Linked DNA regions of Rattus norvegicus. The protein of the gene in region 7 purifies or fractionates together with the protein of the main gene of each other region. This does not show direct contact. Links are inferred from orthologs where the notes say so. Each region holds a gene or a part of one and is shown on either strand. Other genes may lie near its edges. The genes, in order: Eif5, Eif4g3, Eif3i, Eif3g, Mtor, Eif3d and Eif3b.

Evidence for each region.
Region 1: the proteins of Eif3b (region 7) and Eif5 fractionate together in Homo sapiens (co-fractionation; 3 studies listed by BioGRID and IntAct, with this or other methods). This does not show direct contact. The link is inferred for Rattus norvegicus from reciprocal best matches to the Homo sapiens genes EIF3B and EIF5.
Region 2: the proteins of Eif3b (region 7) and Eif4g3 purify together in Homo sapiens (affinity purification with mass spectrometry; 3 studies listed by BioGRID and IntAct, with this or other methods). This does not show direct contact. The link is inferred for Rattus norvegicus from reciprocal best matches to the Homo sapiens genes EIF3B and EIF4G3.
Region 3: the proteins of Eif3b (region 7) and Eif3i purify together in Homo sapiens (affinity purification with mass spectrometry; 12 studies listed by BioGRID and IntAct, counting the BioPlex papers as one, with this or other methods). This does not show direct contact. The link is inferred for Rattus norvegicus from reciprocal best matches to the Homo sapiens genes EIF3B and EIF3I.
Region 4: the proteins of Eif3b (region 7) and Eif3g purify together in Homo sapiens (affinity purification with mass spectrometry; 12 studies listed by BioGRID and IntAct, counting the BioPlex papers as one, with this or other methods). This does not show direct contact. The link is inferred for Rattus norvegicus from reciprocal best matches to the Homo sapiens genes EIF3B and EIF3G.
Region 5: the proteins of Eif3b (region 7) and Mtor purify together in Homo sapiens (affinity purification with western blotting; 3 studies listed by BioGRID and IntAct, with this or other methods). This does not show direct contact. The link is inferred for Rattus norvegicus from reciprocal best matches to the Homo sapiens genes EIF3B and MTOR.
Region 6: the proteins of Eif3b (region 7) and Eif3d purify together in Homo sapiens (affinity purification with mass spectrometry; 10 studies listed by BioGRID and IntAct, with this or other methods). This does not show direct contact. The link is inferred for Rattus norvegicus from reciprocal best matches to the Homo sapiens genes EIF3B and EIF3D.

What each region holds. Positions count from the first base shown.
Region 1 is NC_086024.1:136,413,333-136,416,329, forward strand, and holds part of Eif5 (eukaryotic translation initiation factor 5), read left to right. Parts: intron 1-674; coding exon 675-814; intron 815-1,084; coding exon 1,085-1,243; intron 1,244-1,695; coding exon 1,696-1,857; intron 1,858-2,104; coding exon 2,105-2,269; intron 2,270-2,528; coding exon 2,529-2,663; intron 2,664-2,997.
Region 2 is NC_086023.1:155,669,878-155,673,377, forward strand, and holds part of Eif4g3 (eukaryotic translation initiation factor 4 gamma 3), read left to right. Parts: intron 1-125; coding exon 126-230; intron 231-2,006; coding exon 2,007-2,139; intron 2,140-3,500. UniProt on the Homo sapiens protein: Component of the protein complex eIF4F, which is involved in the recognition of the mRNA cap, ATP-dependent unwinding of 5'-terminal secondary structure and recruitment of mRNA to the ribosome. Functional homolog of EIF4G1.
Region 3 is NC_086023.1:147,224,111-147,228,111, reverse strand, and holds the start of Eif3i (eukaryotic translation initiation factor 3 subunit I), read left to right. Parts: upstream 1-1,201; 5' UTR 1,202-1,239; coding exon 1,240-1,242; intron 1,243-1,334; coding exon 1,335-1,427; intron 1,428-2,560; coding exon 2,561-2,648; intron 2,649-3,869; coding exon 3,870-3,935; intron 3,936-4,001. Other genes in the region: Tmem234 (transmembrane protein 234), read right to left, coding at 694-845, 1,106-1,121. UniProt on the Homo sapiens protein: Component of the eukaryotic translation initiation factor 3 (eIF-3) complex, which is required for several steps in the initiation of protein synthesis.
Region 4 is NC_086026.1:27,707,147-27,711,277, forward strand, and holds the start of Eif3g (eukaryotic translation initiation factor 3 subunit G), read right to left. Parts: upstream 2,801-4,131; 5' UTR 2,791-2,800; coding exon 2,771-2,790; intron 2,652-2,770; coding exon 2,605-2,651; intron 2,412-2,604; coding exon 2,328-2,411; intron 2,219-2,327; coding exon 2,130-2,218; intron 1,989-2,129; coding exon 1,929-1,988; intron 516-1,928; coding exon 411-515; intron 319-410; coding exon 129-318; intron 1-128. UniProt on the Homo sapiens protein: RNA-binding component of the eukaryotic translation initiation factor 3 (eIF-3) complex, which is required for several steps in the initiation of protein synthesis.
Region 5 is NC_086023.1:164,188,485-164,191,984, forward strand, and holds part of Mtor (serine/threonine-protein kinase mTOR), read left to right. Parts: intron 1-144; coding exon 145-237; intron 238-991; coding exon 992-1,126; intron 1,127-1,477; coding exon 1,478-1,607; intron 1,608-2,877; coding exon 2,878-3,128; intron 3,129-3,500. UniProt on the Homo sapiens protein: Serine/threonine protein kinase which is a central regulator of cellular metabolism, growth and survival in response to hormones, growth factors, nutrients, energy and stress signals.
Region 6 is NC_086025.1:111,422,741-111,426,240, reverse strand, and holds part of Eif3d (eukaryotic translation initiation factor 3 subunit D), read left to right. Parts: intron 1-548; coding exon 549-681; intron 682-1,388; coding exon 1,389-1,536; intron 1,537-2,118; coding exon 2,119-2,249; intron 2,250-2,736; coding exon 2,737-2,822; intron 2,823-2,942; coding exon 2,943-3,072; intron 3,073-3,500. UniProt on the Homo sapiens protein: mRNA cap-binding component of the eukaryotic translation initiation factor 3 (eIF-3) complex, a complex required for several steps in the initiation of protein synthesis of a specialized repertoire of mRNAs.
Region 7 is NC_086030.1:19,328,269-19,331,768, reverse strand, and holds part of Eif3b (eukaryotic translation initiation factor 3 subunit B), read left to right. Parts: intron 1-3,084; coding exon 3,085-3,277; intron 3,278-3,500.

The DNA.
Region 1 (2,997 bases), on a different chromosome or scaffold from region 7:
TCCTAATCTTTAATAGCTCCAATACTGTATCAGTACTGCTTCACCTTATTTTATAGCCTGCACAATGTAGTTAGTGAATTTATTTGATGTCTGAATACCTTCAGAATTCTTTTTTGTTTTTTTCAAGCAAGACAGGGTTTTTCTGTAATATCTCTGGGTGTCCTGAACCTTACTCTGTAGACCAGGTTGGCCTCTAACTCAGAGATAACCTGCTTGCTGCCGCCTCCCAAGTGCTGGGATGAAAGGCATGCAGGGTTGTTTTATTGAAGTGTATTTTTTTGTGTGGGTGTTCTGTGTGTGGGTATGTCTGTACCACATGCATGAATCCCCTGGAACTGACTGGAGTTATGGATGGTTGTGAGCTACCATATGAGTGCTGAGAATCTGAACTTCCTTTTTTTTTTTTTTTTTGGAACTGGGGACCGAACCCAGGGCCTTGTGCTTCCTAGGCAAGCGCTCTACCACTGAGCGAAATCCCCAACCCCTGAACTTCCTTCTTATGCAGGAACAAGTCCTCTTTATTGTTTACCAGCCACTCCCTCCAGAATTCGAAGTTGTGTTTTATCATGTTGGCTTTTTCTGCAGAGAACTACGATGGTGAGAGGGTGGAATTTAAGTCTGATAGTAATACATAAACCATGAGACTAAGTAAGCTAACTCTTACTTCCTTGTAGAGAATAGTGACATTGGTACAGGAAAGAAAGAGAAAGAAAAGAAAAATAGAAAGGGCAAGGACAAGGAAAATGGCTCTGTATCCACCAGTGAGACACCACCACCTCCACCACCAAATGAAATTAGTCCTCCACATGCTGTGGTGAGTTTAGTGTTCTTCAAATAGTGTTGAAAACCCTGATATTTGGTTAAATTTTTAAATGTATTAATATAGTTGTAGCATTGTGCTATTGGCTGGTGGATAAACTGAATTAAACTAAACTATTTTTAGGATCCTTTTTCCCTGTTTGCCATTTTGTTTTGTTTTTGTTTGCTCTGATGTGAAAGATAAATATTTTCTGGTTTGTGGGCAAAGGTGCTTGCTTGATCTTGTCAAGATGACTAATTCCTTTGTGATCTTTTGTGTGAATAGGAAGAAGAGGAAGATGATGATTGGGGGGAGGATACAACTGAGGAAGCTCAAAGGCGCAGAATGGATGAAATCAGTGACCATGCAAAAGGTCTGACACTTAGCGATGATTTGGAAAGAACTGTAGAAGAGCGTGTTAACATCCTGTTTGATTTTGTTAAGGTAACTTTTTTTTTTTTTTTTTTTTTTTTTGTTCTTTTTTTCGGAGCTGGGGACCGAACCCAGGGCCTTGCGCTTCCTAGGCAAGCGCTCTACCACTATGCTAAATCCCCAACCCCCCAAGGTAACTTTTTATAGTTAACATTTTCTCTGGTATCTTTGAATTCATTTTTTCAGGGTCTCTAGCCCTGACTTTCATGGACTTGATAGACCAGGCTAGCCTCAAGCTCTCAGAGACCTGAGCCTGCTGAGATTAAAGGCATGTCCCACCACACCATTCTTTGAATATTAATGGAATGCTTGTATTTACTTCCTTGATTATGCAAGAAATGTACTAGAAGTAGTACAATGGGTGTTGAACTGTGATAAATTGGGTATAAATTCTGGAGAAGGACTGTTCTCACACATAGCAAAATATGCCTGTATTTTATATTGAAATAATCCTTTATTTCCAGAAAAAGAAAGAAGAGGGCATTATTGATTCATCTGATAAAGACATTGTGGCTGAGGCAGAAAGACTGGATGTAAAAGCCATGGGCCCTCTCGTTTTGACAGAAGTTCTCTTTGATGAGAAGATAAGAGAGCAAATCAAGAAATACAGGCGCCATTTTTTAAGAGTAAGAGATTTTGGTTTATTATTCTTGATTGTCACCTTAGGACTGTGGCTTTAAATTGCTTCAGACAACTATTGTTATCCTGAAAATAGATAATCCCCACTTTACCAAGTCTGGGAGCACCTGCAAAGGGTAAGGGTACATTGACTTTTTTGGGCTACTCTTTCATACTCTATGCTTTAAGAAAATGAATGTACATAGGTAAGAATTATAGAACAGGCAGATAATTGCTGATGTTGTCTACCTGCAGTTTTGTCATAACAACAAAAAGGCCCAGCGGTACCTTCTTCATGGTTTGGAATGTGTGGTAGCAATGCATCAAGCTCAGTTGATCTCCAAGATTCCACATATCTTGAAGGAGATGTATGATGCAGACCTTTTAGAGGAAGAGGTCATTATCAGCTGGTCAGAAAAGGTAAGGAACCACATAAGTTATGTTAAAATGCTTCAGAAGCATCAGAATGGCTATTGGGGCATATGTTATGAGGAAGTTGTGTCTAATAGACGCAGTTTTCTCTATGATGTTGAATTCTATACTTGGGTAATGTGTATGTGTGTTCTGTCTACTGAAGGTTAGGGTGTGAACCAAGCCCTTTAAATAGCTAATTCATTGTACATGTGACTTAAATTACATTTTTCAAATCTTCACCAAGAAAATTCTGGGCTTTTTTTAGGCCTCTAAGAAATATGTCTCAAAAGAACTTGCCAAAGAGATTCGTGTCAAAGCAGAGCCATTTATTAAATGGTTGAAGGAAGCGGAGGAGGAATCTTCTGGTGGTGAGGAAGAAGACGAAGATGAAAATATTGAGGTAAATGCTAAAAAATGTTATTGAGTACTTGGTTGTCAATGGGTATTGCAGGTCTGCCACACATGAATAGGGTTTTGTGTGTGTGTCCCTGGCTGGTCTGGAACTCAGCTGCCTGCTGCTCTTAGTGCTAGCTAAAGGTGTGCGCTGCTCTGGGGAGAGGGAGTAGAGATTGAAGGGTAGTTATGACTAGACAATTGGGATGGTTCCAAATTTCAGTTTAAGGATACAACAAAATGCAATCTTTCTGTGAGTGGGGGAGACAGTTTTTGCATGTAGTTCTGGAAAGTGAGCATACTAGGTAAACAAGCATTATCTGACCTTGAGCCCTTTTGAG
Region 2 (3,500 bases), on a different chromosome or scaffold from region 7:
ACAAGTTTGAGGCAGCCTAGACTGTAGAGTGAGACTCTTTATAATAAAGACAAAAAATAAAACTACATGAAAAAAAGAAAATTTGATTTCTTAGCCAGAAATCATGGTGGTTTTATTACTTGCAGCCGCGCATGGACCAGTACTTTAACCAGATGGAGAAAATTGTCAAAGAAAGGAAAACTTCCTCCCGGATTCGGTTCATGCTTCAGGATGTAATTGACCTCAGGCTGGTAAGTTAGGTTTTATCAATAAATACCATGACCAAAACCATTTGGGAAGGGGAGGGTTTCTTTCAGTTTACAGTTTTACAACACAGAAGGCAGGGACTGAAAAGGCGGCCATGAAGGAGTGCTGCTTACCGGCTTACTCAGCCTTCTTTTTCACACAGCTCAGGACCACATCCATTAATCAAGGAAATGCCCTACAGACTGTCTAGTCAGTCTGGGTGGAGGCATATTCTCAATTGAGAGTCTTCTTCGGATAACTCCAGCTCATGTCAAGGTGACAAAAGGTGGTAGGGAAGGGAAATCAGATAGACTTGAGTGAAAAAGTCGGTGGTGTTTGTTGGGGTGGCAAGCTCTTTTGCTTCATGCCCAGCACTGAAGTGACGGGAAGAAGGTGCTGCCTGACTTGTCCTTTCCCAGTTACCTCACCACACTGCCGCTCTGACATTGCCCCTCTGAGTTCAGTACTGGTCAGTGAGACCCGGGCTTTCTAAACTGAACAGCGGAGTCTCGTCTCCACAGTGAACATGTTGAGCTCATAGCCATGTGATCTCTACAGTGCTATTGCCATCCTCTGCCCTTACATACTCGGTGACATAACTATGTACATTGACACTCGTGGATGTTGCTATTCCGCACTGTCTGCCTCAGCTGGAAGGTCATCCCTCACTGCCCTCAGTCCTCAGGGCACCTAGGAGGCTGCTTTGTCTTGTCAGACCCCAGGTGTGACCTTAATAGCAAAAGCTGTGACCTGTTGCTCAGAGCTCCCTCACAAGGCAAACTCAACCCAGTTTCCACCCACGTCTCCACCACGTTTGCTCATTTCAGCCATCAGAAGGGAGGCTGGGATGGAGTGAGGCAAGTTTTGTCTCCTGAGAAGAGAGAAGCAACCTTGCGTGGCATTCTAGGGAGGGTACCAGAGTCATATTAAAGGAATAAAAGTGGTTGTCACCTTTGATTTAGAGACCCTGTGAACTATGACATGAATTGAGTATTAACCCCTCATGTCACACAGTCCTGGAGAATCTTCCTTCTTCCCAACCCACCGCCTTTCCCTTCTGTGTCGGCAGTGTTGGCAGCTGCATTGCACACTTTTTTATTTATTATGTATACATCATACAGCTTTCTGCCTGCATGTATGCCTGCAGGCCAGAAGAGGGCACCAGACCTGATTATAGATGGTTGTGAGCCACCATGTGGTTGCTGGGAATTGAACTCAGGACCTCTGGAAGAGCAGTCAGTGCTCTTAACCTCTGAGCCATCTCTCTAGCCCCCTAGACACTCTTTCCTTCTGACTTTTACCCTCCACTTGTTGGAATGGGCACTGCACACCCCGCCGTAGTTGTTTCCTTAGCTTGAAACCATAAAGCACACCTGTCATCCTCAGCCAGCTGGGGTACTGGCATGCCTCTCCCTTTGGTAGGTATTTTATATGGTTGCCACACTGGAAAGTATATGTTTTGTCTTTTTGCCGGGACAGGGGCTATTAACAGGTTTCTCTGTATAGCCCTGGATATCCTGTAGACCAGACTGGCTTCAAATTCATAGAGGTCTGCCTTCCTCTGCCTCCTGAGTGCTAGGACTAAAGGTGTGTGCCACACTGCCCAGCAAATGTATAGGCTTTTAATTTATTTTTATTTGGAAAATTATATTGTTATTATGTATGTGGTGCTGAGGACCAAAGGCAGAACCTCGCACATGGTAGGCATTTACCAACCTAGATGCCCCACCCTTTCTGTAAAATTCTGTGACTTGACTCTCAATCTTATTCTGTTTTCATAGTGTAATTGGGTGTCCCGAAGAGCAGATCAGGGGCCAAAGACTATCGAGCAGATTCACAAAGAGGCCAAAATAGAAGAACAAGAGGAGCAAAGGAAAGTCCAGCAGCTGATGACCAAGGAGAAGAGAAGACCAGGTGAGGCAGCGGGGCTGGAGTTGGGTGCAGGGTGCGGGACTGTTAGGTCGGTGCTGCAGATGAGATTACCAAGACACCTGAGAATAACCGTGGAGTAAGAATGTACAATGGAGGGGTGTGTCGACTGTCTGAGCCAGTAAGAGAAGCGAGTGAAAGTAGCTCTTGAAACTGATGGCTGGACCCCTCCAGGACACATTGCCAGTAAATGCATGGGGTGTCCTCAGTTGAGATGTATTCTCCATTACGGTTGTAAAAATGTAGACTTAAGAATGGTGGCACAGGGGCTGGAGAGATGGCTTAGAGGCTAAGAGCACCAGTTACTCTTCCTGAGGACTCTGGTTCGATTCCCAACACCCTCCTGGCAGTTCACAACCATCTGTAAGATCAGTTCTGTGGGGATTGGGGATTTAGCTCAGTGGTAGAGCGCTTGCCTAGGAAGCGCAAGGCCCTGGGTTCGGTCCCCAGCTCCGAAAAAAAGAACCAAAAAAAAAAAAAAAAAAAAAAAAAGATCAGTTCTGTGGAATCTGACACCATCACACAGACACACGCACGTAAAACACCAATGCACATTTTTTTTAAAAAAACTAAAAAAGAAACAAATCATAAGAAAGGAAGGAAGAAAGCGGTGAAGTTTTAGAGGAGGAGAGAGATGAGAAGAGGAAGAAGCCTTTCTGTGAAGGAGGCCTGACCTGGCCGAGAGGCTGGTGTTTGAAAGGACTTCACCCGTGTAGTGGAGAATGACCAGCCCTAATTGGGGTGTGTGTCACCTCACAGTTTGGATGGACGATGCTGGAAGAACTGAGACCAAGTGCTTGGTTTTGGTTTCTGCCAGTCTCAAGTGTGACGTGTCGCACACTCAGGAGTGTCCATCACGTCACGGGTCGTGTGCTGGTAGCAGTAAACAAACCGAAGTACAGGGTAGCCTTTACCCAGCTGTCTTCAGGGAACACTTTAGAGGAAGAAATGTAGGGACTGCGGGCTTAGGAAAGAGAGGTTGCATTTTTTTAAGTTTTTTATTACATGGCATGCCATGGAGGTCAGAGATCAGTTTGAAGGAGCCTGTTTTCTCCTTATACCATGTTTGTCCCAGGATCGAACTCAGGTCACCAGGCCTGACAGCAACTGCTGCTGCCCGCTGAGCAATCTTAGCATCGCAGAGGTTTTTAAGCAGGAAGCTTGGAGAGCCTTTTCTTGTTGGTGCTGGTGAGCCAGCCTGAAGCAGGTGAGGGCGGGAAGCCCTGTGCACATCTTTGGAAGGAGGGGTTTGGAGCAAAGAGGATGCACAGAGGCCCTGCAGCAGTGCTGCGATCGGAAACAGGAGTCTGGTTAAAACTCTGCCTGTATGGAAAAGGAAGGGTTAC
Region 3 (4,001 bases), on a different chromosome or scaffold from region 7:
AGAGAAACACAGTCAATGTACTCTATTGCCTTAAATATCCTCTCCCTCGTCCTGGCCAGTTCCCATCTTTCCTTGAGTGACAGTGTCACCCCTTCCAGGAAGCCCACTCCCTGTCCTCCAACTCCCATCTCTCTCAGAGTTCACACAGTACTTTATCTGTACCCCTCAGAGTGCTGCATATCTAGCTAGCTTACATCGGCAGCTATGGCTTGTAGGCAGTTCATTATAGCCTTCCTTAGGTACAACTCCAGGGCAAAGAAAGCTTCTGGAAATGCTCCAAATCGTTATATAATTGATAGGGTGACAATGACATTAAGAGCCTGGCCGTGGCAGCGCCTTTAATCCCAGCACTCGGGAGTCAGAGACAGGCTGATCCCTGAGTTCGAGGCTAGACTGTTCAGGATAGTCAGGGCTACACTGAGAAACACAGTCTCAAAAAAAAAAAAAAAAAAAAAGTCATAGATTGAACATGTACGCTGTACTAGGCCCAATGCTAAGTGTTTTGCGTCTTACCTCAATTCTTCTATCTGCCCTATACATGGGTTATCATTAAAATTTCCATTTTACGGATGATGAAACTGAGACTCACAGGGGATAAATGAGCTTCCAGGAGCTTCTAGTGAGTAGGAGGTGGGCTGAGAATCTGGCCGACCAGCGACCAAACACTCAGCGGCTCCTCCCGAGCGTACGCACCTCAGTATTCAAGAAGAGAGCCTTCATCTCCCCCACCAGCTGCCGGGCCCATGTCCGCTCATGCACCTGCTGCAAGCCGGAGGAGGCCCGCTTCAGCAGTGGCTGCGTGCCACCCCATAGTGCAGCCACCAGCACCAGAGCAAGCACCTGCCCTGAAAGCAAAGGGTCAGAAAGTCACCCCGGCCCTCTCCTGCTTCCTCCAGCCCGGCTGACCGGCTCCATCTCCCTCCCGCGCTCTCCGCGCCGGGCAGCGATAGGTCGGGAGGACCGGCCGGCAAAACGGCGGAAGTGAGACCGGGAGACCAGGGTGCGTGGTTTAGCATTCCTGCGATTCAGGGATGCCAGGGGAGTGAGAAGAGATTCTCCGAGTTGGAGAGTCGGAGCCCGCAGAGGGGCGGGGCCAGCTACCCACCCAAGGATGCCGCCATGGAAACGCCGGGCCCTTCTACTTCCGGGAGCGAGAGGGCGGAGTCCTCACATCCGGAAGTCGCCCCAGTCTTCTTCCGGTCCTACTCACATTGCCTCTCTCCTCGCGTCACCGCCAGGATGGTGAGTTCCAGGCACGCTGTGCTGCTGTCGGGGGTCCTCAGTAGACTTGGGACAGGGTTTCAGGCACTGACACTCCGGTTCTGTCCTCACAGAAGCCCATCCTGCTTCAGGGCCATGAGCGGTCCATCACGCAAATCAAGTACAACCGCGAAGGAGACCTCCTTTTCACTGTGGCCAAAGACCCCGTGAGCGACTGCGCGAGGGCGGGAGGGCCGGGCGGGGCACCGGGGGGAGCGAGTTCGCGCCGCCGGGACAGAGGGTGAGGTGAACAAGGTTTGCTGCCGGAGGGATATTTCTCTGAAAAGCAGGGAAAACCACCCATAACCGGAGTAGGGTAGCGACAGCATTCTGCCAGGAAAATCTGGAAGATGTTGGTGGATGAAAGGAAAGAGTACCCAGGGAGAAGAAAATTAAGAGATTGAAATTTAACCCTTCTAAACTACAGTTTTCCCTTTTAGTAAAACATGGAAGCTTTTAGTAGCTCCCCCAGCAAGTGAGGTCATTCTTCTAAATAGTTTTGCACCGCACCTCATGTATGTTAGTCGCTTATATTTTAAGGTTCATAGACATGGTTTTATTGGAGCGTCACAGCTGCCCTTTGAAGAAAGCTGTTAACAGGGGTGGGGTATCTATCCAAGCTGGCCTGAACCTCTCCATCTTCCTGCCTCAGCCTCCTGGTCTTAGGAATACAAATGTGTGCTACCACGTACAGCTCCTCCCAGTGCTTTAAAAAAAAAATTATATATATTTTGTGTGTGTGTAATCATTTTATTTTATGTGTATGGGTGCTTTCCTGCATGTGTGCGTCTGGTACCTGAGAAGGCCAGAAGATCCCCTGAAACTGCAGCTACAGATTGTTGGTATCGTGTGGGTGTTGGGAATCGAACCCATGTCGTCTGGAAGAGCAGCCAGTATTCTTTAAGCTCTGAGCCATCTCTTCAGCTCTCATAGCCATTTAAAGGAAAGAAGCCCTGTATTTAAGATGACAGGGTGAGCTAGTGACAAAGCACCAGAGCCCATGCGTCCTTACTGTCATCTGTAGTCAGCTGAACAGGACCTGAAAGATTTTTTTAGGCTGGAACTCAATCTTGTCTTGGACTCCTGAATCCAGACAAAAGCGTATGAGGGTGCTGTGGCAGGCCTGGCTCTTCTGCCGCTTATGTTAGGAACGGAGGAGAACCCAGGAGCTGGTCTTTTATCAGCTCTCTAATAAATGAGCAGAAGGCTGGCTTGGCTCGAGCCTACCGAGGGTTTGAGTGCAAGCTAAGCTATTGATCTTTCCGGGATGTGACCCGTCCTGTCATTTTACTCTTTCCAGATCGTCAATGTGTGGTATTCTGTCAATGGCGAGAGGCTAGGCACCTACATGGGCCACACTGGAGCTGTGTGGTGTGTGGATGCTGACTGTATCCTTTTTGCCTGCCGTGGGTCAGCCAGCCTTGGAGATGCTGGCTTTGAGGTTGTGGCTTTGGCATGCTATGGTGGTCTAGAGAATAACACTCTCTACTCCGGGGTGCTTCATCCTGTGGGAAACTAGGACACGTTCAGGTTCTGGAATTCAAAGGTCAGGTCGCTCTGAGGTAAAAGTGAGAAAGGCTCTTTGGGACGGAACTGGGAGATGGGGGCTAGGTGAACTGTTGTCATTTTCTTTTGTATGTATGTATATGTGTATGTGTGGTGAATCTGTGTGAACAAGTGCAGGGACGAATGGAGGCCAGAAGTCAGCATCTGGTCTTGTCTTAAGTTATTTGCAACCTTTTTTTTAACATTTTTTCTTTTCCCTAAAGATTAGTTCTATCTGTACGGGAGTTTTGCCTGCATATGTGTCTGTGCACCATGTGTGTGCAGTGCCAGCCATTTTCTTTAAAATGACAGAGGGCATCAGATCCCTTAGAACAGGAGTTACAGATGGTTGGGAGCCACCGTGTGGGTGATGGGAACCTAACCTGGGTCTTCCGGAAGAGCAGCCAATGCTCTAATCAATGAGCCACCTATCCCAGCTTTGTTTGTTGGGTTGGTTTTTGGTTTTTTGTTTGTTTTTGTTTTGGTTGGTCTGTTTTCAAGACAGGGTCTCACTATGATAGTGTTGACTCTCCTAGAAATCCCTGTAGACCAGGCTGGCCTCAGAGATCCACCTGTACCTGCTTCTCAAGGAAGGATTAAAGACATGTGCCACCACTGTCTGGCTCCAACTTGTGTTTTGAGACAAAAACAACTTTTCATTGAGTCTATAGCTCCCTGATTAGCTAGAATTGGCCAGCCAGTCACTGAACTTCCTGTCTTCATCTCTCAGCACGGGAATTGCAGCCACACTAAAGTCTCTCTGTGGGTGCTGGGGATCTGAACTGAGGTTCTCAGGTTTGCACAGAGCATTTTACCTGTTAAACGTCTCCCAGCCCTAGTCATTCTTTTTTTCTGTGTCTAGAAGTGATTTGCCTGGTGTTTGTATGTATGTGTGCTTGGTGCCCTTGAAAACCACACTTGGGCATTAGATCCCCCTGGAACTGGAGTTGGGAGCCACCATGTAGCTTCTGGGATTCTAACCTGGACCCTCTGGAAGAGCAGCCAGTGCTCTAACCACTCAGCATCTCTCCAGCCCAAGTCATGTTTCTTAACATCTTTCTCAGGGGACACCAAGCATGTCCTTACTGGCTCAGCTGACAACAGCTGTCGTCTCTGGGACTGTGAAACAGGTAAACCTGGGTTATTCACTTTTTAGCAAAAGTGGCCAACGACAGTTTACCTGTCTAAGCAAAGAC
Region 4 (4,131 bases), on a different chromosome or scaffold from region 7:
AGTCATCAGTCACACTTGCATCAGAATGACCACCATGCCCAAAGTTGTCCCTAGGTGATATAGGGAAAGAAAACAGTACACTACAAAAGGAACAGCTGAGGCCCCTCCCAGGCGCCCCATGCCCACACCTCCTGGCAATTTCTCCTTCTCCCCGGTAGACAGGCCCAGCTGCTCAGCCAGCTCCTTCTGCATGGGTCCTAGTGTGTCCTTGTAGGGGCAGCGGGTGGTCCAATGGTCGCCCTTGCAAATGCGGCAGGACACGATCTTCTGGCCCTTGAGCTTGTTCATTGGGTCCTCCTCCTCCTGGCAGTTCAGGTCCTGGTGGGGAAGGGATGGCTCAGAAGGGGCTGCTATGTCCTACCCACCCCACTCCCTCTGCGTTTCTCAGGTTCCAGTTTCACCCTGCTCACCTCTTTGCTAGTGATGAATGTCATGGAGACGTCATCACTGACTGTGGTAGTGGCTACATTGGGCCCTGGCGGGTCAAACTCTGAGTTGCCAAACTTCTTCCAATTCTGGGCTCCCAGGAAAAGATGGGGAGGTGAGGATGAAGGCAGGAAGGATCCCACAGTGCAGCACCCCAGACAGACAACCATTCCGGGGCTTTGACTCCTATGTTCTAGTTTCCCTAGAGGCCTTCCGTGTGGTAACAGTGACAATACCCACTTCCTAAGATAGACATGGCGGCACATGACATCACTCCAACATCTGCCAGGTGCAAACAGGAGGATCCTGAGCTGCAGGCCATCCTGAGACACAAGCTCTAAACCAGCTTGAGCTGTATGAGGCCCCATCTAAATGAATGAATAAATACATAAGAAAAGGAAAAGGGGGCTGGGGACTTAGCTCAGTGGTAGAGCGCTTACCTAGGAAGCGCAAGGCCCTGGGTTCGGTCCCCAGCTCCGAAAAAAAGAACCAAAAAAAAAAAAAAAAAAAAAAAAAAAAAAGAAAAGGAAAAGGTGCTGGTGCCGTAGCTCAGTGTGAAAAGGTGCAGTTTACTTGTTGTACTTGTAACAACCTGAGCTTGATCCCAAAGTCACACAAAAAGTTGAGCATGGGGCTCAACTGTGCCACTGCAGTTTCTGGGCAGGTCAGTAGCCCAGCTCCCATCAGGAATGAAGGAGGAATCCCCAGATCTTAGGAACCTTGAGCTAGTTAGACCTGAGGTTCATTTCCTTCCTGTAACATGGGGGCCACAAAGCCCCCTGCCTCCCTAAACTGGCGTGGGGATTGAGAAGCCATGTCGAGCTAGATGACTTGGGGGGGAGGGGTGCTTGCTCTCAGGCAGTGCTGCCCCGGCTAGACGCCCTTGCCCCCTTGGTAAGTAGAGGCTGCTCGCTTCTTCATGTAGACAAAGGAGGAAGAATCTAAGTGGGGACTCGGGAGGCAGAAGCATTCTGAATGAAGACTGTAGAGCTAAAGTCTCTCAAAAATAACAAGCCAGGAAGTGGTGGCAGTGCCTTAAATCCTAAGTCTGGGGTAAAGGCAGGTGGACCTCTGAGTTCATGGTCAGCCTGGTCTACAGAGAGTTCAGAACAGCTAGAGCTACAGAGAAACCCTGTCTGGAAAAAACAGACAAACTACAAACAGAAAAACCAAGAGGGCTGGATATGTCTCAGTACAGTATTTGTCACAGAAGTGCCCATCAGAGTTGATCCCAATGAAGATCTGAGATCAGAGGCATGTACTTATGTGGGAACAGCAAGCCCAGTCTAGTTTCTAATATAAAGAGACCATCTCAAACCAAAAGTGCGCACACCTGCGCACAAAAGGAGAAGAAAAAAAAATCTTAACTTCATCTACTCCTGGGTCCTAAACTTTCAAGGCCTAACACTAAACTTTTATTCTACATCAACAAAAAGGGGCTTCCTAAGTCCTCTGGTCAGTCCTGGGGAACACCCCCATCCCCCAAATAAGTACACTCTCACCTTCCTCCTGGCCACAGCCTTTGATGCCTTCCGGGTCTCAATTCTGAAGGTTCTGACAATCTGAAGGTGGGAAAGAGTTAGGAGTGCTTCCCGAGTCTCAGGCCTGCCTCAGCCATCCAAAGCAACACTGACACTCTTCACCACCGATCTAAGAGCCCCTGAACAAGTCACGCTGACCACATATGCCCACCTCACCCTTACCTTGAACTTCTTCCCATCTTCCTCTACCTTGTACTCAGTCACCGTCTTTATGTTCCCATTGATGACTTCCTTGGGAGGTGGCAGTGGGTCTGGAGGAAGATCACAGAAACTAACTCCTGGGTAATGGGACTGGCTGGAAAGTAGGCTTGAGAATCGGAAGGGAGAAGGGAGAAGAAGGCAGGGATGGACGGTGCTCACCTCCAGGAAGTAACTCCGGCTCTGGACTGGTGTCACCGGTGGGCAGAGGGATTCCTTTCAGGAGCTCGCTGGTGACACACTTGTCTGCCGGAGGGAATTCGGGGAGGAAGGTAAGTGAGCCACAGCGCTGGAACTTTCAAGCCAATGGCGGGGGTTGGGGTGGGGGACCGCTCCAGGGGCAGAGCGCAAAGCGAGGGTGGGACTGGCCACAAGCGGCCCTAGCCTGTGCGTGGGCATCCGGGTCTCGCAGCGGGCGGGGCCGCGCACAAGCACTCACCGTCCTCTCCCTCCTCTTCCACCTGGTCGGCCCAGCTGGGCTTCGAGCTGCGGGGACAGGAGATCGGTGAGCGGGTCCCGGGCCCCGCGCTACCTGGACCACCATACACCCCAGAGCTGCCCCCACTCGGCCTCTCTGGCGACCCCCACCGCCACCGAACACTTACTCAAAGTCGCCAGTCGGCATCTCGAAGTCCTACTCCACGCAGCTCTCAGCCCGGGTAAAGACCGGAAGCCCGTGTAGAAGAGGCTTCCGGTGCTGTGGCCGCTGCCTAGAGCGGCCAGACCGCGGTGACCACAGCGCCTCCCTGTGGACAAATGTGGACATGCATGTTTTGCGTGCCGCAAAGCGCTGGCATCCAACCTGGAAAGGGGGTCTAGAAAAGAGCTTCTAAGAGCGTTTTAAACTTTTTACTCCCTCTTTAGGCTGATGGAACTAGATGTCAGTGTCTCACTCTATAGCTAGGATAATCAGTAACTCCCCACAATCCTTCTGTCTCAACTCCAAAACGCTCATGAACATCATTCCCAGGGTGGCCTTGAATACGAGGCTGTCCTGAACCTTGTGGTGTATGTACCCCAGCTAGCCTTGAATCTTTCCACCTCATTCTAGCAAGTGCCGGGAATACGAACATGAAACCACCACACTGGAAACTGATTCGTTCTCTCCCTCCTCTTGGAGAATTAGTTTTAATTATCACCCAGTGTTAGAGGTGGAAGCTGGAAAATCATGAGTTGAAGGCCATTTCAGCTACTTTTTGGATTCCAGGCTAGCCTGTGCTACATGAGACTCTGTATCCAAAACTAAAACCCTTACTTTGTTCCCCAGGCTTGCCCCTGAACTCCCGAATGCAAGCAATTGACAAATAACTGGCATTATACCAACAAGCCTGGGGGAAAAGCACATGTATCAAGAATGCCCTTAAAAAAAAAAAAAAAGAACCAAAAAAAAAAAAAAAAAAAAGAATGCCCTTGATTTGTGTTGTTTGGATGATACCAGGACTCTGGTTTGTTGAAGAAGATATAGACTCAGACCACCTGGTCTCCTGTGCTTCCTTTTCTGTGACGCATGCTAGGTTTTATCATGCAAACTTGCGTGTGTGTTTGTACTGTGTTTGAAGACACCGTGCTTGTGCACTCACAAACCCTTATGCACAGTACACGTGTGGAGGTCAGGGGACACTTTGCAGGAGGCCTCTCCTTCCACTATGTGGGTCCTGCAGCTCAGGCCCGCAGTCTTGGCCTCCTGTTGGGGTCAATGAATCGCTTCACAAACCACATGAACACCAATCTCTGACAGACACGGACAGTTTATTTAGCGTACATCCCAGGACTGGTTGACCAAGGTCACACTCCAGATTCAGGGACTGAACCCCAAGCTAAGATCCTGCAGGGTTGTTAAGCCCCAAATCCACAAACATCTGTGCCAAGTTATTTCACCAATCAGGATTTAGGGATAGGCAGATTTCCTTGGGATCATGTCTTTGTTGTACACTTACCCTGCTCCCAATGGTTGGGGTATTCAACT
Region 5 (3,500 bases), on a different chromosome or scaffold from region 7:
CTGCCTAGGCTGACCTCAAACTCCCAGAACTCCTGCCTCAGCTTCTAGAGTTTTGGATGTCTAAGTGTGAGCCACCACACCCCTCCTAAAACAATGTTTTCATCCCACAGTCTCAGCCCTCTGCCATTGTCTTCTCGTTTGCAGGTTAGCGGCCTGGAGATGAGGAAGTGGGTGGACGAGCTCTTTGTCATCATCATGGACATGCTGCAGGACTCCTCTCTTCTGGCCAAAAGACAGGTGAGGGCCACTGCCGCTGAGTGTGCTGGGCTCCCCGGGGACCGGGGACCAGTTTCTCTGTTCACCACAGTGTCACCAGTCAGTTCTTGCAGAGGTTGACAGACAGTAAGAGCTTGACATTTTCTTTGAGTGTGGAAAGAGGGCAGAATCTCAGAACAAGCTTTGGCTGTCCTCCTGACCAATCATCTGCAGTTCAATCTAGGCCAAGCATCGCCCCTTCCTCTGCACGGACGAAAATGCAGTCCGCTCGTCAGAGCCCTGACTGGTCAGAGCCCCGGCTCCCGAGTGAGGAAGCAGGCTCGGACACTGATTATGGAGGCAGACAGCTTCCCCTCACCCTCCCAGCCACTGGAGGTTATTAGGGAAATAGTCCAAAGTGAAGAACAGTATTGACTTCCTTCCGTAGCTCCTGTTAGTCATTCAGGATACGAAAGCACCACATTTCTTCTGAGAATATTCTGTATAGTTCTTTCTCTGATTCTTTTTGAGCCATCATCATCTCATTCTGTAGTCGACAAGTAAGTCCGGTTACTTACTGTGTAGTTTGAACTGGACTATCGGCAGCCCTCCAGCTTCAGCCTCCCCGGGTCAGGGAGTGACTGTGGGTTCCTGCTTGATCAGCTGTTTGCGTGTCCTGACTCTGGGACTCCTACTCATGGTCTGTGACTTAACAGTCTTCCGATTGGACAAAAAGAATGCCTGTGCTTTCTTTTCCTGTACTGGTTCAACAAACTGTGGCTGTTCGTCCACCCAGGTGGCTTTGTGGACCCTGGGACAGTTGGTGGCCAGTACTGGCTACGTGGTGGAGCCCTACAGGAAGTACCCCACTCTGCTTGAAGTGCTGCTGAATTTTCTGAAGACGGAGCAGAACCAGGGCACTCGGAGAGAGGTACACAGCAGACACCTGGCCTGCAGGGACTTGAGAGAGGAAGTCATGGCAGTAACCCACCCACACTGGGCGGGACTTCCTGTCTGTCTCTGCTCTGTTGTTGGAATGGTCGTTTATGTGGGAGGTGTGGGGTGTAGAACAGGAGAGTTGTACCTCAAGTCCTGTTTTTTGTTTTGTTTTTTTTTTGTTTTTTTTTTTTTTGGTTCTTTTTTTCGGAGTTGGGGACCGAACCCAGGGCCTTGCGCTTCCTAGGCAAGCGCTCTACCACTGAGCTAAATCCCCAACCCTTCAAGTCCTGTTTAATCAGATGTTGGGGTAAATGCTTAGCTGCTTCTTTCCTTCCCTGCCCAGGCCATCCGAGTGTTAGGGCTCCTCGGGGCTTTGGACCCCTACAAGCACAAAGTGAACATCGGCATGATTGACCAGTCCCGAGATGCTTCTGCTGTCAGCCTGTCAGAATCCAAGTCAAGTCAAGATTCCTGTAAGTTAGAACGAGAGTATTGTCAAGCTTGGACTCACATCCCTTCCTGACCATATTTAGAAAGAGTATTGGTCAGATGACTGAATCTCTTGGCAACTTGTGCATGAAGAGCCTGTAGTCCCTGCGTCTGCCTAGCAGGGATGTTGTACCTGATGTATCCAAGTCCTGTGTCTACCCACGGTCTTGTCAGGGTTAACAGGCTAACTTAAGTCTAGGTTACTTTTGACCGCAGGGAGAGATAGGAGTTACCCTGACACCACTGTCACCTGTCACTTTGTTAGTGCTTCTTTTTTATTTATTTCTTTTCTTTCATCCCTGGCCTCGTGGAGAGGAAGGATAACTCTTGTCTTCTCTGTTTTATTGAGGGAATTCAGGACATAGAAAGACCAGTAGCCCCCATAAACCCTGGGCCCTCTCTCTTTGCATCTCGTCTGACAATAGAGACCCCTTGCCTTTTGACGAGTGCACGAGCATGTGGGGAAGCGGATGGAATGTGAGCTCTAGGCCACCATCTACTGGGAAAAGCCTGTTTATGAGGTGAAGGTTCAGCAGTGGGTCTCCCCAGTGCTGTAGCAGAAGATGACTTAAGAAGATGAAACTGTTTGTTCACTACAATCTCTCTAGGTGTGAGTGTTCGGTTTTCTCCATCTGTTTCCTTCTCCCCTCTGGGTTAAGGAAGTGTAGCAAGCTTTTACCTTTGCACCTTGGCCATCAAGAGCAGAACCTAGGGTTCCTCAGCAGCGCCTGCCAACCAGCCCCTCTCCTGCCCCACATCTTACCTCCTCATTGCACGCCACCATTCCCAGGACAGAGTCCTTGCTGTTCAGGGTATGGCATATGCCTGCTAACTTGTCTGTATTCCCTGTGGGACTAGCCAGCTGTGGAACAGATGTTTGCCTAATTTAATTCCCTTTACTTTCATTTGGAGGAGTAATTATTTTATTGATGGTTTCAACTATGAAGTTGTGCACTGTAATGCTGAGAAGCTAGGTTAAACCTAGTAATTTAAAGAAAACCCATCATGTACTGTTTTAGGCTTTGGTGGTTTGGGTAATAGAAAAGCTAGAATGAGTTTTGCTCCTGACATGGAGAGCCTATTCATTGGTTCCTAATAGCCACTTGTCCCATACTCACAGCAGTGTCAGAATGTAGCAGAGAGAATGTATGCGTGCTAATGCCTCTGAGGGGCTTCGCTTGCTATTAGCCTGCTTAGCCTCTCATCAAAGTCCTGTCACCAGTACTTATGACTCTCTTTGTCACTTTGTCCTAGCTGACTACAGCACCAGTGAAATGCTGGTCAACATGGGAAACCTGCCACTGGACGAGTTCTACCCCGCCGTGTCCATGGTGGCCTTGATGCGGATCTTCCGAGACCAGTCCCTCTCTCACCACCACACCATGGTGGTTCAGGCCATCACCTTCATCTTCAAGTCCCTGGGGCTCAAGTGTGTGCAGTTCCTGCCCCAGGTCATGCCCACGTTCCTTAACGTCATCCGAGTCTGTGATGGGGCCATCCGGGAAGTAAGTACTTAAAAACCCTTCCCTGCTCACCTCTGCTGCACTGCACCATGCAGACTTATCTGTGCCTCGGCTTCCTGACGCCACGCCCAGCTTGCACTGACACTGCCTCTCCCAACATGGCACCTAAGTGTTTAGCTGGGTCTGTCCGGTTGTCTACTTCATCCCCACTGGATATAGAGAATGAATAGCCCCGTGGAAGGGACAGCATTGCTCTGTAGCTCAGCTGTGGAAGGAACTGCAGGCCAGATTTCTGCTTGTTCCTCATGGCTAGACTTAAATCAGGCTGGGGTGGTTGTTGTTGTGTTGTTGTTGTTGTTGTTGTTGTTGTTGTTGTTTGTTCTTAAGGTTTATTTTTATAAATTTTAATGTTGT
Region 6 (3,500 bases), on a different chromosome or scaffold from region 7:
ACCCAGAAGTCCACCCGTGTGCGTGCTTCCATAGTGGGCTCAGTTCCCCAGGGAAGGTTTACTGTGCTCTACAGAGGAACATGGGAGCTAAGAAAGCAGGAAGCTAAACTAGCATTAGAGTTTGTCTCTCTTTTTTTTTTAATACTTTTTTATTAATTTTATATGAATATACTGTAGCTGTCTTCAGACACAGTAGAAGAAGGCACCAGATCTCATTACAGATGGTTGTGAGCCACCATGTGGTTGCTGGGAATTGAACTCAGGACCTCTGGAAGAGCAGCCAGTGCTCTTAACCCCTGAGCCATCTCTCCAGCCCTCTCGTCTCTTTTTCAGAGAGATTAGTTCCATCTCTTTCCTATGTACTGGACTTCTGAGATGGGCCTCCCTTTGTAGCTGAGATTTAAACTTGGCATCCTCCTGCATCTGCCTCCCTAATCCTGGGATTATAGACATGCACCACTGCAATGCCTGGCGTGCACAGTAGATGTGCCTTCTGACTCCATGGCGTAAGAGGTGGGCGGACCTCTGATTTTTCTCTCTCCCCTCAGCGAGTGCTGTGGAGCACTGGAGTACTATGACAAAGCCTTCGACCGCATCACCACGAGGAGTGAGAAGCCTCTGCGGAGCATCAAGCGCATCTTCCACACTGTCACCACCACAGACGACCCTGTCATCCGGAAGGTGTGCACCCTTTGCCCACTTTTGGGAATGTTGCTGAGGCTTGAGAAAGAACAGGGCATGAGGTGTGCAGGTGTCCTTCAGTATTCACAGGGTTTGAATCAGGACCATCCCATAGGTACCAAAAGCCATGGCTGCTCCAGTCCCGGTGATGTGACTTACCTGTCAGCCCTAGCAATCTTCCTTCCGTGTTTCAGTTCCTTCTGGGTTGCTCACAACACCTAGACATTGGCTACTACTACGTAAGCAGTTGTTACACTGTTATTTGAGGAACCTGACGGATAGAAGGTGAACGTGTTTATCAGGCAAACTTTCTCCCCCTGAACATGTGGTAGACATGTTGGACTGGTGGATCCCACAGAAACAGCTGACTATGTGCATAGCCAAGCCTTAGATGAGGTTCTGAATCATACAGATGAGACTTGTTGCTAGGTGCACTTAAATATGTTAAGAGACATGCTCAAATTCCAGCTCTGCCAGGCTGACTTTGCTGCCCTGGTGCCTTAGCTTTCTTACATACAAAGGTAGAAGGATAGCTAGGCTGGCACCTACTGAGTGGAGCGTGTCCCGTGCATCCACCACAGCCTGCTGCAGTGACTGAGAGCCTCACCCAGCCTATTTGCTGCAGCCTCCTCAGGTGACTGGGGTATCTTCCTTCCCAAGTGACCTCAGAGTCCTCAGTTCACTCTAGTCTCTCTCCTTCCTTTCAGCTGGCAAAAACGCAGGGCAATGTGTTTGCCACAGATGCCATCCTGGCCACACTGATGAGCTGCACCCGCTCCGTGTACTCCTGGGACATTGTTGTCCAGAGGGTCGGATCTAAACTCTTCTTTGACAAGAGGGACAATTCTGACTTTGGTAGGCATGGGTGTTTTCAGTTCAGAATAATTACTTAAGAATGAGTAGTGTTTTGATCTCTCCCGTCCACTCAAAGAGACCACTTCGGTGCTTCTGTGGGCTTCAGCTCTGAGTCCTCACACCACTGTGGCCGTGAGTTACTATATGCATAGAAGTGTCCTCCGTTTCCTCTTCCTCTCTGTACTATAAAGAAGAATGCATATGCGTGTATTTTATGACACATGTGTATATACACACTGTCAATGAATCACTCACAGAATTATAGCCGTCTGATTCTGTTTGAGTCTCAAGCCTCATTTGTTAAAATGCCAAGAGAGACACATTCTCTTGAGGAATCCAGAAAGAATGAGAAGGAACAACTGAACTATGTGACCAGTGTTGTTGGGTCGCACCTAACGTTTTCAGTGAGCCTCCACTTCCCTGTGCATGCCACATTCTGGGGGAATCCTCTGTGAGCAGATGGCAGTTCTTTGGAGATGGGCCCCTATGATCTAGGTCCGTACCTCTACCCATACTGCTGTGCACACTGCCAGTGACTCTTGGCTACCTGAGTGGGTGACATCCATGCTTGGGCTTTTCCAGACCTCCTGACTGTGAGTGAGACGGCTAACGAGCCCCCTCAAGATGAAGGCAATTCCTTCAACTCACCCCGGAACCTGGCCATGGAGGCCACCTACATCAACCACAACTTCTCCCAGCAGTGCCTGAGAATGGTGAGTACACAGGAGCAGATGCACTGGCTTCTGGGTTAGGTCCTGCTGCTGAGCCTCTGCTCTGTGCTAGACAGTGGTGTGAGGTTGGCCAGGCACAACTCCTCCTGGTAGCAGGGATTGGAGCCACAAAAAGGTCTGTGTGCTCAGGCATATTTCCTCTCTATGGAGTAACTAATAATGCCTGTGTCACATAGACAGGCTGTGGAATGCCTTTGGATAAAAGGCCTTTCCATGCCTTGAGGATATGACATTGAATGAAGAGCATTGCTTGCTTTCCTGTTAGCTCAGCAGTCTGCTTGTGGTGGAGAGGGAAGCAGGAAGGAACATGATGGCTCTTACTCTGTGGAGTGTGTTAGGCTTGGTCCTTGATACATAGTGAGCCTACACCCTCAAGGACAGAAGCACCTAGCCAGGGCTGTCAAGAGCAATGCTGGGTCTGCCCACTTGTTATCAACCCCAGCTCCTGAAAGCTTTGTCACTTCTGCAGGGGAGAGAGAGATACAATTTCCCCAACCCAAACCCATTTGTGGAGGATGACATGGATAAGAATGAGATCGCCTCCGTGGCTTACCGGTATGTCGGCTCTGGGGGGGGTCTGACCAAGATTAGAGCACAGAACCTGTCCTGTGCTGTCCAGGATGGTCCGTCCACGGCAGTGGATCTTGTAGTGAATGAGTCTTGCTGTCTTCTTAGTTACCGGAGGTGGAAGCTTGGAGATGACATTGACCTTATTGTTCGCTGTGAACATGATGGCGTCATGACTGGGGCCAACGGGGAAGTGTCCTTCATCAACATCAAGACACTCAATGAATGGGACTCCAGGGTGAGGCACCATCACAGTTGTGTTCCGGCAGTGTGTAGTGGGGTTGGCTCTTGGGTACTCACACAACCATTGTGGGTGCAGGGATATCTCAAGTTTCCGTCACTGCCAACAGAGTAGAACAGTCTAAGTTAAGGTTTCTACCTTTATCTTCAAGCACTTTAGTCTGTTCATTCTGGCTATTGGCTCCTGTGGTCTGTGCATCTGATCTTGACCTCACCTTATCTTTGGAAGCTCTGGCCTCTTTCTTTACTCAGCCTCATTGCCACCTCATGATCTCTTTATCCAGTTCTGTCACTGCTGACCTCCAAAGACTAAGATCTGGACAGACACGCACACACAGTCCTCTTTGCGTTATCCATTTCCAGTGCTGCAGGACCTTAAGGTCAGGCGACGTCCTTTCTCCCTGGCTCTGTGTGTGGTGCCCTGAA
Region 7 (3,500 bases):
GCCTGTCATTGATTTTGGCATCTTTGCAATGTGTCTTGCTTAATTAGGTTTCTTTTGCTGTGACAAAAGCAACTTATCCAAGGTCCATTATCCAAGGAAGTGAGGGCAGGAGCAGATGTAGAGGCAGGCCATGAGGACTGCTGCCGCTGCCCTGCTCCTTATGGCTCGCTCGGCCTGCTCTCTTAGACCATTCAGGGACAGCCTGGATGGCCCTGCCCACAGTGAGTTGTGTTCTCGAATACCAGTGTGCAGTCAAAAAACCAACCCACAAACTTGCCTGCAGGCGAGTCTGGTGGGGGCATTTTCTCAAGTGAGGTTTACTGCTCCCAGATAACTCTAGTTGTCAAGGTGACATAAAATTAGCCAGCACAGAATGCAGAGGACTGTCTGTCACATTGCTTTTCCCTGTGTAGCACCCAGGACCTGGTGCATGCTAAGCAAGTGTTCTACCAAGCCATACTCCCAGCCCTTCCACAGTGACCCTTAAAAAAAGTCATTTGGTGAGCTGGTGCTGGACATTCGTGTAGCAGTCAGGACAGTGTTGAGGAGTTGGTTTTCTCCTTCCACAATGGGTTCCAGGGATTGCACTCAGGTCATCAGCCTTGTGTGACTAGTGTGTGACACCCTGAGCCTTCCTGCAGGCCCAGAATTGCCTTTTATGTTTAAACATATTATTTATTTGTATCCTTTTTTTTACATTTTACTTCGTATGTATGTTTGCCTGCATTCATGTTTATGCACATGTGTGACTGGTATTTGTGGAGGCCAAAAGAGGGCATCAAATTCTTTGAAACCAGAGTTATTGCAAGTGGCTGTGAACCAACATGTGGGTGTTGGGAATTGAGCCTCAGTCCTCTGCAAGAGCCAAAAGTGCTCGAAAATGGCTGAGCCATCTCCAGCGGTTTTTTTTTTTCTTTTAATTTTTTATTTTATTATAAGTTTTGTATTTTATATGTTTATGGACGTTTTGCCTGCATGTATGTCTGTGTACCACAAGTATTCATTTGCCCTTGGAGGCCAGAAGAGGGCATTAGGTTCTCTGGAACTGGGGTTGTAGCTGGTTGTGACCCACCATGTGGGTGCTGGGAACTGAACTCTGGTCCTGCAAGAATAACAAGTGATCTCAACTGCCGAGCCGTCTCCCCACTCTCTCCCCGCTTCCATGTTTTCTATCTGAGACAAGGTCTTACTGTGACTCGGCCTCTGACTGTTCTGGAACTCACTAGGCTGGTCTTGAACTTATCTGCTGACTTATCTGCCTTCTGAGTTGGGATGAAGGGCATTAGCTGGGCCAGACTTGTGTATTTTAAACAGATCTTCTTGTGTAGATCTGGATCTGGGAGCATGGAAGCATCCTTCCGCTTAGCACGCCTTTCTCCTTGTGTACATGTACTGTATTTGTGAAGGTGACATCTGTAGGCCTAAGGATTGTGTCAGGAGTGTTCTTTTGATCTTCACTACTCTTTTTGGAATTGACTCTATAGAATTCTGTAGATCAGGCTGACCTCCAACTCAGAGATTAACCTGCCTCTCCCTCTAGTACAGGGATTAAAGGTGGGCACCATGACTTCCCAGCTCCCCCTTTAAAAAATGTTTTTAGTATCTGTATATATGTGTGAGGTTGTTAGATCCTGGAGTTACAGCCCCTGTGAGCTGCCATGTGGGTGCTGGAAATTGAACCCAGGTCCTCTAGAAGAGCAGTCATTGCCTTTAACCAGTGAGCCATCTCTCCAGCCCCTAAGATAGGGTTTCAAATTGAACCTGGAGCTCACCATTGCAGCTAGACTGGTTAGGCAGAAAGCCCCTGAGATCCTGCACACTCTGTCTTCATAACGCCGGGATTATAGATGTGGCTTTTTTTTGAGACAGAGTCTTAACTGTGTAGTTGTGGCTGTCCTAGAAATCACTTTGTAGACCAGGCTGCTCTTGAATTCACAGAGGTCTGCCTGCCCAAGTCCTGTGATTGGAGGTCACAATGCAAATAAATCAGCTTGTGGGCAGCAAGCACTTTCCCCTGACTTAGCCCCTCTGTCCAGCCCCACCTTTCACTTCTGAAATGCCCAAAGGATGTATGTTGACATTTAGGGGATTTAGCATGCTGAAGTTTCTTTTCTGTTTTTAAAGGGTGTGTGTGTGTGTGTGTGTGTGTGTGTGTGTGTGTGTGTGTGTGCGTGTGCACAGGTACCCTTGTAGGCCAGAGGTGTCCAGTCCCCTTGAACAGACTGTTGAGTGAACTGTCCAACATGGGTACTGGGAACAGAACTCAGGTACTCTGCAGGAGAGACAGTTGGTTTTTCCAGACATGGCTTCTCTGTGTAGACCAGACTATGGTCTCAAACTCATATCACCTGCTTCTACCTACCAGGTGCTGGGATTAAAGGCACCACCATCAACCGTGGTACCTGCTCTTAATGCTGAGCTGTCGCTTACTGTTCTTAGCTAAGATCTTGTGTAGGCCACTAGGAGGCTGTCCTTGCCTTGAGGATGACCTTGAGCTCTAGGTCCTCCTGCATTTTGCTGGGGTTGCGGGCGTGTGCAGCCACCCCTGCAAAGATTGAATAAAAAACAGTGATAGTGGCTAGAAATTCATGCAGTAGGCCATTTAAGTTTGTCTTTTGAGCAGTATTAGAGATTGAACCCAGGGCTACTTCTGTGTTAGGCTGGGGTGCTACTGTTGTTCTATCTGTGGCCCTTTGTAATTTGTAATTTTTACAGTTATTGTTTTCGTGTGGAGTATGAACATGGCTGTGGGGGTCAGAGGGTAACTTTGAGGAATGGGTTCTTCCCACCTGGTTAAGGCAGGGTCAAGCTGGCCTTGAGCTCCGATCCACAGGCATCGTCCACCTTCAAAGTGATGGGATTACATGCTTACACCCCCTGTAGCAGCAGTTTGATCCATTTAGAGAATATTCCCATCTAAAGGAGGGTGAGCATCCGCTTCCTTAGAAGCCAAGTCCTGGTGTCTTTGTTCACCGTGAAAGCACTTGGGATAGATGCCTCTTAGACATGAGTAGCCTGCTGGCTAATGAATGAGTGCTGCTCGGCTGAACTAGAAACCACTTGACATTTCCTTCACTCCTTCAGAACTACTTGGTGATGTACTCAAAGATCGGCCTCAGGAAGCGGATGGGATTGACTCGGTGATTGTTGTAGACAACGTTCCTCAGGTGGGACCCGACCGGCTTGAGAAGCTCAAAAATGTCATCCACAAGATCTTCTCCAAGTTTGGGAAAATCATAAATGACTATTACCCTGAAGAGGATGGAAAGACGAAAGGGTGAGTGTGATGGTTGCTGAAGCAGCAGTTGGGGGCTTGGGGGTTTGTGTGTTCAGGCCACCCCAGAGGGGAGTGCGCCAGTGAAGTTTTGGTTCCCAGGTCCCCAGCAGTGAGTGACTGTAGCCTGAGGGCCCACAGAAGAAGCAGGCTATCCAAGATAGGTCCTAGATAAAGATAGCACTTTAAGGGCCTGAAAGTGGACAAACCTGCCTGCGGGATTTCT